Linked DNA regions of Mus musculus: all the other regions are reported to be linked to region 4. Evidence: microRNA targets listed by miRTarBase, many of them from high-throughput screens and not tested one by one. Region 4 holds a microRNA gene; each other region holds the end of a gene's coding sequence.
Evidence for each region. Region 4 holds the annotated microRNA mmu-miR-1199-5p (UCUGAGUCCCGGUCGCGCGG, at 1,592-1,611, shown strand). A microRNA usually pairs through its seed, bases 2 to 8, with sites in the 3' UTR of a target mRNA and lowers its output. Matches are read on the target gene's strand: a 7mer-m8 pairs with bases 2 to 8, a 7mer-A1 pairs with bases 2 to 7 and ends in A, and an 8mer does both.

Region 1: the mRNA of Tbl1xr1 is a reported target of mmu-miR-1199-5p. Seed matches in the 3' UTR shown: 7mer-A1 at 2,263-2,269.
Region 2: miRTarBase lists Osbpl8 as a target of mmu-miR-1199-5p. The part of its 3' UTR that is shown has no 7-base or 8-base seed match.
Region 3: the mRNA of Supt7l is a reported target of mmu-miR-1199-5p. Seed matches in the 3' UTR shown: 7mer-A1 at 1,893-1,899.

The regions. Positions count from the first base shown.
Region 1 is chr3:22,209,762-22,212,910 of GRCm38, forward strand. It overlaps Tbl1xr1 (transducin (beta)-like 1X-linked receptor 1), which reads left to right. Exons shown (of 16, transcript NM_030732.3): 16 at 640-3,149. The coding sequence ends at 666. Among named protein-coding and RNA genes, the nearest start is that of Tbl1xr1, 130 kb to the left of the region's middle.
Region 2 is chr10:111,292,579-111,295,727 of GRCm38, forward strand. Osbpl8 (oxysterol binding protein-like 8) reads left to right here. Exons shown (of 24, transcript NM_175489.3): 24 at 514-3,149. The coding sequence ends at 646. Among named protein-coding and RNA genes, the nearest start is that of Bbs10, 4.5 kb to the right of the region's middle.
Region 3 is chr5:31,513,073-31,516,221 of GRCm38, forward strand. It overlaps Supt7l (SPT7-like, STAGA complex gamma subunit), which reads right to left. Exons shown (of 5, transcript NM_028150.2): 5 at 1,497-2,854. The coding sequence ends at 2,592. Among named protein-coding and RNA genes, the nearest start is that of Supt7l, 12 kb to the right of the region's middle.
Region 4 is chr8:84,010,056-84,013,204 of GRCm38, reverse strand. Mir1199 (microRNA 1199) reads left to right here and starts at 1,572; the gene lies at 1,572-1,690. Misp3 (MISP family member 3) reads left to right here and starts at 1,485. Exons shown (of 3, transcript NM_001291292.1): 1 at 1,485-2,064; 2 at 2,433-2,494; 3 at 2,713-2,977. The coding sequence starts at 1,521. The coding sequence ends at 2,727.

The sequences.
Region 1 (3,149 bases), not on the chromosome of region 4:
TATAAGTAAATCTTAGGGGTGACTTTGCCAAAGAAGACTCAAACAAGTAATGAGTGATTTTCAATGTAACCTTCCATTTGTGGAATTAAATGTAATGAAGTATCTCTTGCTAAATGGTATTTTTAAAGCCCTTTCCCCAACTCTCCCCTCTGAAGTGGAGTGTTGGAGGATGAAGAATGGAGGCTGATTTCTGTGGGGAGATATTTAATACTGACCTTCAGGATGTTGTTAGTAGATACTTGGGGGGCCGGGGGAGGTAGTATAGCCTCTCCCGTTGTAAATCAGGGAAAGCAGGAGAGAGGAAAGCAGAGCTGTTTGTTGAGATGACCCCGTAACACCTGTGTTGTGTTCAGACCTGAGTCTGCTCTGTATGTTCCCCATCCCCCTTTTACTGACTTTAAAGACCTAAACCTAAAACTTTGAGCAGCATTTCCTCAGTTACTGTAGCTTGGTAGTGATCACATCACAGCATATTGGCCCGATGTCCTTCATCAGTTAAGGTTTCTTTCCATAATTTGTTACTTTGATTTTATGAATTTGCATCTTAGATTGTAAATTACATTGTATTCTTTATAGAAGTTAAGCTTGCAATGTAAGGTAGATTTCTTGATACTGGCTGACTGTTGTCATCTCTTACAGGTTTGTGTCTTAGACCTTCGGAAATAGCGTTACTAGTTGGAAGCCATGGACCGACTATGAATGTGTACATAGCCACAAGACTATCCCTGACCCATATACTGCTATAGTCCCACTTGAACCATGGCCAGTCCACTACAGCCAAATCTAAGAGAAATATATACATGCAGTATATATGAACACAGCTGTACCCTGAAGATGACAGTCTCATCCCAGCTTGTGAATTCTGCTCACCAAGTGCTGGGATCTAACCTGCTGTGCCCCTAAGTAGCGTTTAGAAGTTTGGATATGAAAACCAGAAGAGAAGGAATATGCGTTATAAGAGCAAACCACACATGTCCCAGTTTTGAATATTAATGACAGCCTTGTTTCCCCCTTTGAATCAGCAGACACATGGATTATATTCTTTTTCCCCTCAGTAGTGCGCAGTTTGTATGTACAGAGAACATGGACTTAACAAAAGCTTGCGGCAGTAGTTGGTTCTTGCTTCCAAGTTTGTTTTGGTTTAGATTATGGATGCATGAAGTAAGGGAGTGAATCATTATCTTGCTTTTTTTTCTCACCTTTTAAACAACAAAAAAATTCTTAAAAATATTTTACTGCATTCTTTGGAAGAGGTAGATGTTTGGTACATCTGATGGCTCCCAGAGCATATAACTCAATAGGTGCATATTATGGAGGGAATTGGAATAATAGGAAACTACATGACTTCCGTCATGTCACTCTCTAAGACACATCAGCAAAGGGTGTTATGTTATCTTTGTTTTGGGTTTCTGGGTTTTTTGTTTTAGTTCTTTGTGTGTGTGTGTGTGTGTGTGAGAGAGAGAGAGAGGGGTGGGGAGGAGAGAGAGCGCTTAAAATAGTTTCTTTTTGGGGACATATTTCTGCCAATTAAAGACTAGAAGGGCACAACTTTTTTTTTTTTTTAATACCATAAAGAAGAGTTTGGTTTTTTTTTTTCTAAATAATAATCTTCTGATGTTTTGTAGCCATAACTAAATTATGGTTAAAAATGTGCACTATTGTGAGAAGGAGCAACATAGTTTGGGGCTTTTATTTTATTATTTTTATTTTTTATTTTACCATTTGTCTGTTTTACTTTGTTTCTTAAGAGATTAAAATATTTCTGGATAAGGATTAGCTTCTCAAAGTGTCCATCATTCTGTATAGAAGCTTAAATATGTAATGTAACCAGATTCCAGTATTAAAAAATCTCTCATGTTAGTTTTCTTTTTACAAAGCAAGGTTACAGCAGCATATAACACTGCCATTACATGGCTAAATGTTTGCTACCTTAGTTTTGAAAACAGTTTTTAAAGGCTTGCTTTGAGCTATGTTTGGGTAGCAGTGATGGGGAAATTAGGAGAGGTGTGGCTGGAGCTATCCCTCTGCCTGCATATACGGCGCCAAAGCTGCACTTAAGCATTGTAGATCTAAGCTGCTGTTTTGTTTCCACTATAATCACTACTATATCATGTTTTTTACTCTTGTTTATATCAAGTATTTTTTTTTTAAAGATATAGGTATCCAATCAGATTCTTTTTTTTTGGTTTTTTTTTGAGACAGGGTTTCTCTGTATAGTTCTGGCTATCCTGGAACTCACTTTGTAGACCAGGCTGTCCTCGAACTCAGAAATCCGCCTGCCTCTGCCTCCCGAGGGCTGGGATTAAAGGTGTGCGCCACCACGGCCGGCTTCAATCAGACTCTTTATGTTCAGCTAAAAGTAAAATATACCTACAAAGGTTCACCAGAGGCTGTGTTTGTGAAGGTGGTTGACAGGATAGTCGATATTAATGGAAGAACCCAGGAGTGTAGGTTCTGAAGAGAAAGAACAGTTGTCAAATTTATATCTTTAAATTTTTAATTAAGAAATTGCTTAGCAAATTTATAACACTATGTGTGTCAGTAGTTATTTTGAGGCCTTTGGCTCCTGAATCCCACCCTGTGTTCTACGAAACTGCTCTAACCCAGCCCCGCAGCTTTGCTGCTCTGTTTTTGCTGCCTTGTTCTTTACAAAGCAGCGTTGATTGACGCCAGTCTTGGCTTCATTAAGGTAGGGTGGCATTTGCTTTTGGTAAAGAGGATGGATACACTTACATTTTACCATACATCGTTATATCTACCCCATTTTGTTAGTGGGGTCTATGATACTGTAATATTAAGAGTTGCATCCAGAGAGGCAGTCGTCTATGGTTTGTGCCAGGTGTTTTCAGGGTTCTATCACATTGAGACATTTAGAACCCATTGCTCTGTGGCTCTGTAGGAATTCTAAAATGCTGAGTGTCTGCCACTTGAGATTTTGCTTTTACTGCAAGAGGGTCACATCTGTTGGCCTCTGTTGTTGTTTAAAAAAATAATAATAAAAATAAAAAAACTGTGCAATAATTTTTAAACGTGCTCCCAAGAATAGACACAAACTTTTTGAGTATGCCTAAGCTGCATTTCCTTCAGCGATGCATTTGTCAATTGCACTGAATCTGAACCTGAAAGTCAGAGGTGATTGTTGATAGTGC
Region 2 (3,149 bases), not on the chromosome of region 4:
AAAAAAGGCTCTTGAATATTCTTCAGTTTGACAGTGTTAAGAAAAACTTGTTCCATTACTTTTTCTTAAAGAATTTGGAATTTTTACTCCGCTCTTGTCTCACAATTAAAGATAAAAGAAACTTAACCAACTAAAGAGCAAATGTTCTTCTTAAAACCACTCTTGTAATAGAAAAGATAAATGTGTATTATATTTTATTTATATTTATGTAATTTCTGTTATATAAAATTATATTTATACACTATATTAAAATAGAAGAAATATTTCTGGATCATTAAACTCTGATGACTATGTTTGACATGGAATCATACAGTAATAAGCTTGATTTAGTGAACTTGCAGCATCCTAGCCTGAAGCCTGGCACTCTCAGTCTCAGGGCTGTAGTTGACTGAGCTGGTTACTTTAGGTAATATAACTAGATACCTTGTGACAGTCAGATAACATTATAATCGTGATGTTTTATGGTAATGTTTCTAAAAATAATTATAAAATGTATTGTTGCTTATTTTGCAGAAATATTATGGCTCTTCGAAATCATTTACTTTCAAGTACACCTGCTACAGATTATTTTCTGCAACAGAAAGACTACTTCGTCATTTTCCTTCTGATTTTGCTTCAAGTCATAATAAACTTTATATTTAAGTAGAAGTTCTCAACATTGAATCCATGAACAAGAAAGATTAGATGTGATCTGGGACCATTGTTCAAATTGGCTTGCTCTTTATTAAAGCATCACAACAAACAAAACTAGGAGATAAATGTAGAAATGTCTACCTACTTTTCACATCTTTTATCCTTAACCCAAAACAAGAGCTACTGTGTTTGGTTACTACAATGGGCTGTGTGTTAAGTGCCAGAACACTTGTATGAGACTGTGCCTACACGTGAGTATCGTAGACCCACGTGTGTATAAAGAGCTCTTCCCTGACAGCAGTTCCTGTGTTCTACAGTGTGCTGTGACGTATTCTGATACCAGTGTTCATAACAAAGATGCCGTCACTCCTATAAATACATCTAGGGTCAACTATTGTCTTCAGAAGACCGGCATATAACTTTCATTAGGGAATTACAGTGGGAAAATGGTAGATAATAGACATATTATGAGTAATGTCAATACATTATACTGTTAAAACCATCTCCAAGTTACCTAGTTCAGTTAGTCTTCTTAGATACACCAAGAAAAAATACGTGAGTGATCAGAATTAATATATTGTAAGGGACAAGTAGAAAATTTTTAAGAGTTTACACAAGATTTTCTAACCCCTAGCATTTAATGTTACAGATATAGGTGAATACATAGTTATGTGTGTGTGTATATATATATATCTCACTATTAAAGACTGGTAAGCAGCTACATGGATCTATATGTTACAATCCCAACTTAAGCACTTGCTGAAAAGGAACGGTCAGAGGTGTTTAAGTAGGTTATGTGAAATCCTGATGATTCGGTGTTTTCTTTATGAAAAACTTTTTAGCTTTCATTTAGACACAAGAGTACTCAAGGAGTAAATAGAAGAGAAAAATGTAATATCTTACTTCAAAAGTCAAAAAAGGTGGTAAGAACAGATTGCAGTGGCCTTTAAAACATTAAAATAAAATTGCTTAAATGTGCAATAAGTTGAGCATTGGAGAATGTCAAGTTATGAAGTTTGTCATCTCCTCCCATCATCCTGTGGCAAGCCAGTTCTGTACAAGTCTTTCTGCTCTGCTCAGGCAGATTTGTTCCTAAGAGGTTTTGCCTATTTATTCAGTTTAATAATTGTGTTTTTACATAAATATTTATTATTATCAAAAACACTTCTTTAAAAGGTAGTTAAGTTTTGAAACATCATAAAATGTAGATTGTTCAAACTACAGGTTTTAGAAGGGTTTGTTGAGTGACAACTAAGAAAGAGCTGCTGTTGGCTGCATCGGCCTTCAGCTGAGAAGAGATTGAGCTACAAGGAAAGCTAACTCTGCTGTGAGAGGACAGCTGCAGTGCTCACACTGAAAGCCTCTTCTGATGAATACAGGTGTCCTTATGTTCCTATGAACAGCCTTTTACAGTGTGGTGTTAGCAAAACAATGCTGTATTTCATATGAAAATATTTTAAACTTTTAACAGCATAAGCAAGATGTACCTGTATCCAGTATTTCATTATGGAGTTTTGGGTTATATTTCATATTTGTCAATATATTGTTTGTATTCATATTCTACTACCAATATTATGCTCAACTGCCTATTCATTGATGTGATATTTTGTAAATATTGTACAATTTGATCTTTATATGATTTTAAATTACTATTAATTTATATTATATATAACTTGATTGGTTGATCACGAAAAGTCTTTTCATTGTTAAACCCTGTAATGTAAAATTGTTGGTGACATGCCTTAGAGCTCTTTCTAAATCCTTTGTGTTGTTTGTGATCTGAACAGTGCTTTATTTGTGTTGATATCCACGACTGGAAAGGTAATTGTTGGGTTTTTTTTTTTAATTTCACTTTAGAGCTTATGTTAATGGATCCTTACCCAAGGAGTCAGAAACTAATGAACAGGGTGACTGTTTCTTATACACTAAAAGCTTATGTTCAATCAAATGCTTTTCTGATGCTTTTCGTTGTATGAGTTTCTTTCTGTGAACTGAACACAAAACTCAGGAATTGGAGGATTCATATGTAAGTCCTTTAAACAACATATAATTGAACTTGAGTTTAGCCAGTGTGTGACAGACCTCGAACAATCTGATCTAAGGGTTAACTTTCTTCATAAATGGATTCATAATGTATATGTGACAAACTGTTCCAAACTTGCTGAAAACTCATTGTGATTTCTAGGGTTTCTGACTATGACCAGTTTTGTTTGTTTTGTTTTTCATCTATCCAAAACTTCATTTTCTCACATAAAAATTTAGATAACCACAATTATTGACACAGTTGTTAAATGTCTTTAGTTTTCTGCCATTTAGTGAGATATTGCTGGCTAAGACAAGACAATAACAGGCATGTGTGGTGTTAGTGTGCTGCAGCAATCGATTTAACTTGTAATTCCTACCACTTCTGTCTCTAGTATGACTTGGAAAGCGGCAGTGGTCATCTTTGTCACAGCTCAGTTGACAGCTGCATTCCCTTAAAAAGTTGGCCTTGTGAGATACAATCCTCATTTAAT
Region 3 (3,149 bases), not on the chromosome of region 4:
TTAATGATTGTTTCCTAAGTGAATTCAGTGTACTAACTGCATCTTGGCCACTTTATGAAAATGAAGATGTGATCTGCCTTATTGGGTTTCTATTTCCGTGTCGAGAGAAACCATGACCACCTCAGCAACTCTTAAAACAGACATGGTGCTGGAGTAGCTGAGAATTCTACATCTTTGTAGCAGGGAAAGAACTGAGACACTAGACCTGGCTTGAGCATATGAGACCTCAAAGCCTGGCCTTCTCCAACAAAACCATGACTACTCTAGCAAGGCCACACCTCCATTCCAGATGAGCCTTGGTCCAGTTTCAAACTACCACAAGATTAAAACAGGATAGATTTAAGAGTGTTAAAGATTAATTTGAGGGGCTGGAGAGATGGCTTAGTGGTTAAGAGCACAGACTGCTCTTCCAGAGGTCCTGAGTTCCAATTCCCAGCAACCACATGGTGGCTCACAACCATCTGTAATGGATCTGCTGTGTCTGAAGACAGCTACAGTGTACTCATATATATAAAATAAATAGGCCTTAAAAAAGATTAATATCAAAAATCCTATTTTAAAATTAAGCTGTAACTTCTTTAGGAGGTAGGACTATAGGTTAGTCTAGAGTACATGATGTGACTGTCTTTGAAAACTGTTAAGTTGTGATGGCAAGATGGTTTGGTGGGTTAAAGGCTCTTGCTATGAAAACCTGACGTCATGCCTTCCACCCCTGGCGCCCATGTAAAGGTTGAACGAGAGAACTGACTGCACACAGCAGTTGTCTCTGGCCTCGCTATACAGGCCACACACACCATGCACGAGCACACACACATATAACAAACCTCAAACACTCTGAGGAGAGCTCACCACAAACCTTGGTTTGTCATGGAGGAAGGGAGCATGGCCATCCTTTGTCATCTCGTGTGCCATCTGAGATAGTTGCTGTGCTCAGCCTGTGCTGAGATAGGTGCTGTGCTTAGCCTTGGCAGCTGATTGCAGTGGGCATCAGTTAACCAGTAACTGGCCAGAGAGCAGAGGACGTGATGGTGAAGGGCTGACAGATCTGTATGGCCCTTACTTTCCACCCCTCCTACAACCAGAGAATGTCAAGTGAGAGGGGTGGAAAGTAAGAACACGAGGATAGGGAGCTGGAAGGGAGATAGAAAGCAGAAAGATGTCCTCCGGATCTGATGCAGCACTCATTAACTGCAGCTGTGCTTATCTGTATGCATCTGTATAAGACCTGTCAAGGTGTCATTGTGAGGAGGGTACCTTTGAGGCGGCGCCCCTCTGAAGGGGTGGTAAGCAGTGGTTGTGAAGGAGAGTGTGAGTGCTGCTGCTAGGTTGTCCTTGCTCAGGAAGTGAGTTCCCTCTCAGCTTGAGGCAACTCTGATGAACCTTGGATCACACACACAAGACATGAAAGGAGGAAGCTGTGCTTGGGGGAAGGGAAAAACTATGCATGCATATGGAATGGTCAAAGAATCTTTAAAAAAGAATTGGAATAACTCAGATGACTTTTTCCAAAAATAATTTATTTTTATGTGTGTGTGTGTGTGTGTGTGTGTGTCATGATGGAGGAGTTGGTTCTCTCCTTACACCATGTGTGTCCCCGGTATCAAACTTAAATTGCAAGTGACTTTACCCACTGACCCATCTCTCTGGATCCTCAAATGTCTTTTTAAACAAAACAACCAAAACAAACACCTGAAACAAACCAACAGCTGTTCTGAAGCAAAGCCAGATGCTGCGTACCCGGCAGCTGTGGTGGGCCCTGTTTGCCACCTTCACAAGGAGAAAAGGTGAAAGCGTGTGCATGGTGAAAGATACTTAAAAGTCTGGGTCAAAAGTCAGGCGTGGGTGGCACATGCCTTTAATCCCAGCACTCGGGAGGCAGAGGCAGGCAGATTTCTGAGTTCAAGGCCAGCCTGGTCTACAAAGTGAGTTCCAGGACAGCCAGGGCTACACAGAGAAACCCTGCCTCGAAAAAAAAAAAAGTCTGGGTCAGCACAAGAGCATATGGAAAGTAAAAATGACGAGGCTGGCTGGAATAATCTAGAAAAGAAAGAACTCTGGGGACAGCTGCATAAGGGTAACAGCTGTCCCCACGGCTCTCACTTTGTAAGAGGCCTGAGTAGCATGAATAGTTTGAACTCTGACTGATGGACTTAAGTTTAGCTGTTACTGTCTGTCTTGCTACTGGGTTCCCAATGACGACACAAAATAGACGAATGAATTGCTGACGTCTATTATAGACGTCATATATTGCATATATTTACATGAATATATGCAAGCTTTGAAATTTAAGCAAAGCACCTCAGTGTCCCACCTCTGCAAGGAGCATCAAAGTGGCATGACTCCTCTCAAGCGTGCCAGAGACACGGCTGAGAGGAGCTGAGATAAAACCAGCCGGGACAGTACTTTGGTCTGATTACCAGGTCAGTATCACAACTCAGCTGCGAACGGTGGCTTAGTTGTTTTAAAGAAGTACAGAAACGACGCAAAGTGAACTGTTACTAGGTTAGGAACTGTCTCTGACATTAGCAAAGGTCTACACTTAAGAATACAGTCTAATTACTACTCATGGGCTTCCTGCTGGCGCTCTGCAGTTAAATCTTCCTCATCCTCTTCCTGCAGCGCTGATTGAACACAGGGGAGGACCCCATGAGGCTGTCAGTGGAGTGGGAACCATAGCTGCTGTCTGAGTCGTCAGGGCTCTGAGGGAGTCCAGCCTCACTCATGCCTGACATTGGCTCCTCAAAGACATCACTGCCCAGCACCCCATGCGCAGACACATTGCCTTCTTCACTTTCTTGAGGTTCCATTTTCACGTGAGCCAGGTTCCAGAGAGGAGAAGCATTGACCTCTGCACCTAGAAATGAAGGGAAGGAGAGATTATGAGCCCACGGGGAGGCAGACACAGAACCTGCACATCTCGCCCTCACACAACTAGCGACCTCCGAGCTGCTTTCATTACAGCACCCCACATGGGATGAGGGTGTCACTGTTAGTCTGGGGTTCAAATGTTACCCCCAAATTACCACTTCCTTTCCACTTTCATGGTTTTTCCCTTCCCCTTATTCACCCCTACTTCTCCTATACCAAAAAAAAAAAAAAAAAAGAAAACTGGGTAGAAAGATTATGTTCAAAGGCAGACACAATTCCAG
Region 4 (3,149 bases):
GGATTAAAGGAGTGTGCCACCACTCTCTTAATCCCATTTAATCTTTCCATTTTCTTTAGGCAATTCTTTCTTCTAGGTTACTATAGAACACAGGGTGGGCCGGTTTTTGTGAAAGCCGGGTTCCACAAGGGCGAGTGGAAATGTCTCTACGAGTGGTTAGCCCTCACTCTGGGTCATCGACCCTGTCCCGAAACACAGATCGGGCACCAGACAAAGGTCGCTACTGCCTCCCGCTAACCCGGTGGCTCCTCTGCCCCATCTTGGGCCTCCTGGGCAAACTGGTCCAAGCTGACCGCCTTCCAGCCACAATTGCTCGGCTGAGGCCCGGAAGTCCTGTAATGTCTGTGCCCTCAAACACCGCTCATTCTAGCTGGACACTTGGCTGCCAATGCCTTGCGGGCTTTTCTGGAAGGTGGGGGTGGGGAATCTGCCCCAGGGTTTTGAGTGGCGGCAGCGCCGCTGCAAACCAGACAGAGCTGAGCAGCCCCGGGTAGCAGCAGCACCCAGTGCGGCGGCCCCGGGCGACCCTCGGGCTGGACTCGAGCTGTGTTGCCTCAGCGATCAGTGTGCAGAGAAGGCCCGGAGATCACGGGATAGGGGGCGGGGGGAAGGAGAGTGGTGTCGCTGGCCGCAGGCTGGCACTTGCTGACCTAGACTAGTGAGGTCAGCGAAAGACGACCGGGGAAACACTCTGTAAGGAGGCCGTGGTTCAGCGATCAGCGCGGCGCTCCGCTAGAGGTCAGGTCTCCGGAAAGTGATGAAAAAAAAAAAAAAAAAAAAAAAAGACCCCAGAATGCCAGCGTGGTACCAGAGGGAAAGGGCGACACATACCCCCTGGGTAGTGAGTTCAGGGAAGCCCTTTCCGAAGAAGCCACCCCTTCAGTCAACCCGTGTGTTCAGGTGGCGGGAATCCGGAGAGCAGTGGAGGCGCCCTGGCCCATAGGGCGGGTCCAGGGCCACTCGAATCCAGCTGGCAGGTGACGGGGGCGGTGCCCAGTCCTGCCCCCAGGGGATGTTCCTGGAGGCCAGAGGCGGGTCAAAGAAGAGTGCTGGCGACGCCTATGAACCTCGGGCGGCGGCTGTAACTACAGGTACTGCACAGGGCACCGTGTCCTACCTATTTGGGCATCTCAATTCGGCTCTGAGAACTAAAATTTTCAAAGGGCGCCTAACTCCAAACATCCATGTCCTCGGGTGTCCGAGAGTGGAGTCCTGGGGTCGCCTGAAGGCTACGTGTTCCGGGAGCCGCAGAGCCAGGGCACCGAGGGCTGCTGGGGGAGGCAGTGAGGTCCTGGAAACCTCTGGAGAGGAGCACTTGCAGACTCTGGAGCCAGAGAGCCAGGTCCCGCAGGTGCCAGTTGAGCACCGGACCGAGCGCCCGGGCGGTCCACAGCTGGGCCGCCTGGCACTAGTATAACGGAGGTACTGGGGCAGTTGTGCCCCTGTCTCGGCTCAGAGGCCTCCAGGTGTGTTTTCTACCGAAGCCCGCGGCATCCAAACCGGCGCCGGCGGAATTGCAGATGGAGACGCCCATCCAGCGCGAAATCCGCCGCAGCTGCGAGCGGGAGGAAAGCCTGCGCCGGAGCCGGGGTCTGAGTCCCGGTCGCGCGGGCGAGGAACTCATTGAGTTGCGCGTGCGGCCGGTGCTCAGTCGGCCCGGCTCCGGTACTCCGCTGCCGCGCGCCCTGGAGCGCGCTCGGGCGGGCGCGAAGATGCAACGGGACATCGAACGCGAGGCTCACAGGCAGGCGGCGCTGGCGAGCCCCGCGGTTCCGGAGCCTAGCGCCCGGCGGCGGCCGCAGCCGCTGGACGAACTCAAGCGCTTCTTTGAGGCTGCGGCGGAGGACGGCGCTGGCTTGCAGAGGCAGCCAGAGACCGGAGGCCGGCTGCACCCCGCCGTTCAGGACGGCTGTCCGGTACTGGGGCAGTTGCCACCGCTCGTTGCCCCGTCACTGCTGGAGCAGGAGGTGCGACGAGTGCGCGAGCGCGAGCGGGAGCTGCAGTTGCAGCGGCGCAGCATCTACGGCGACGCCGAGGTCCAGGAGCCAGCGCCGAGCCTCACCCGTAAGCGGTCCCCCTGGGCCCTAGAGCTCCAGCTGTCTCCACCTCCAGTGATCATTCATCTGTAGGCTTGCAGACCCTTAACTATTCTCCTGGGGGTTCACCTTCTTTTCTTCACTCCCACTCCTGGAGTGAGGATCCCCACATCCATCAGACCTTGGAACCTTGACTTCTGGCGTTCTCGGGTCCTCTGTAGTACTCGGGTGCCTCTCTACATTGAGTTTGCCTCATTCCTGTTCCTGGGTCCTCAGAACTGGGTGGAGGCCTTCATGGGGAAGAGGGGTGCACACCTGTATGTATATAAGGGGTGCGGCCATCCTCCAGCTGGCAAGAGGAGGGGCAGTCGCGGCTGAGTGTTCCTTCCCCCACAGCGAGCAGGGGAGATGGAAAATTGTCGGTGATCTGGCCTCCGCGGAGACGGGCCTCTGAGAAGGTGGGAGACTCCCTTTCCGATGCTTGTCGGTCTCCCAGCCCTCCCTGCAGCACCTGGGCACTGGGGTGGAGGGAGAAGGTGCCTCTTGGTCCCCTGGAGCGCCACTCTAACCCAAACTCAAAAGTCCTAGACGCGATCCAGAGAGTGAAGAGGAGGTGGAGGCCTAGAGGCCAAACTTCTCCCTGAGGGTGTTCTTTCTCTTCCCCTTTTCCTTCTAGGAGCGCAGACCCTGAGGTCTATGAAGGTTGGGACCTGCGGACAGAAGTAACATACCCTTTGGAGAACCAGGGTAGGGTTACTCTCCAGATCAGCAGAAGGCCTAGAGAGGGAAGGGCTAGCTTTCTTTAATGGCAACTTGAAATCCAGCCCATCTTTGATACTGACTATGGAATTAACCACCTTTCTCCATAAAATTCTCTAGTCTTCCTTGGAAACCCTGCAAAACCTATGAGTGAAACATAAAATAAACTCCTCCTCCCTTTACCTGGGCTTCAGTGCAAGCTATTTTCTACTGGGTCCTCCTTAGTCTGGGTGGGCGGAGGCTGGCAGGTGAAGAACGTTTGGAAAAGCCACCCAAGGATCCCGCCGGAATGTTGGAATTCAAAACGCGCTCTGGTCTCCTTGTTCTGGACTGACTGCGGACCCGGGCTTGGAG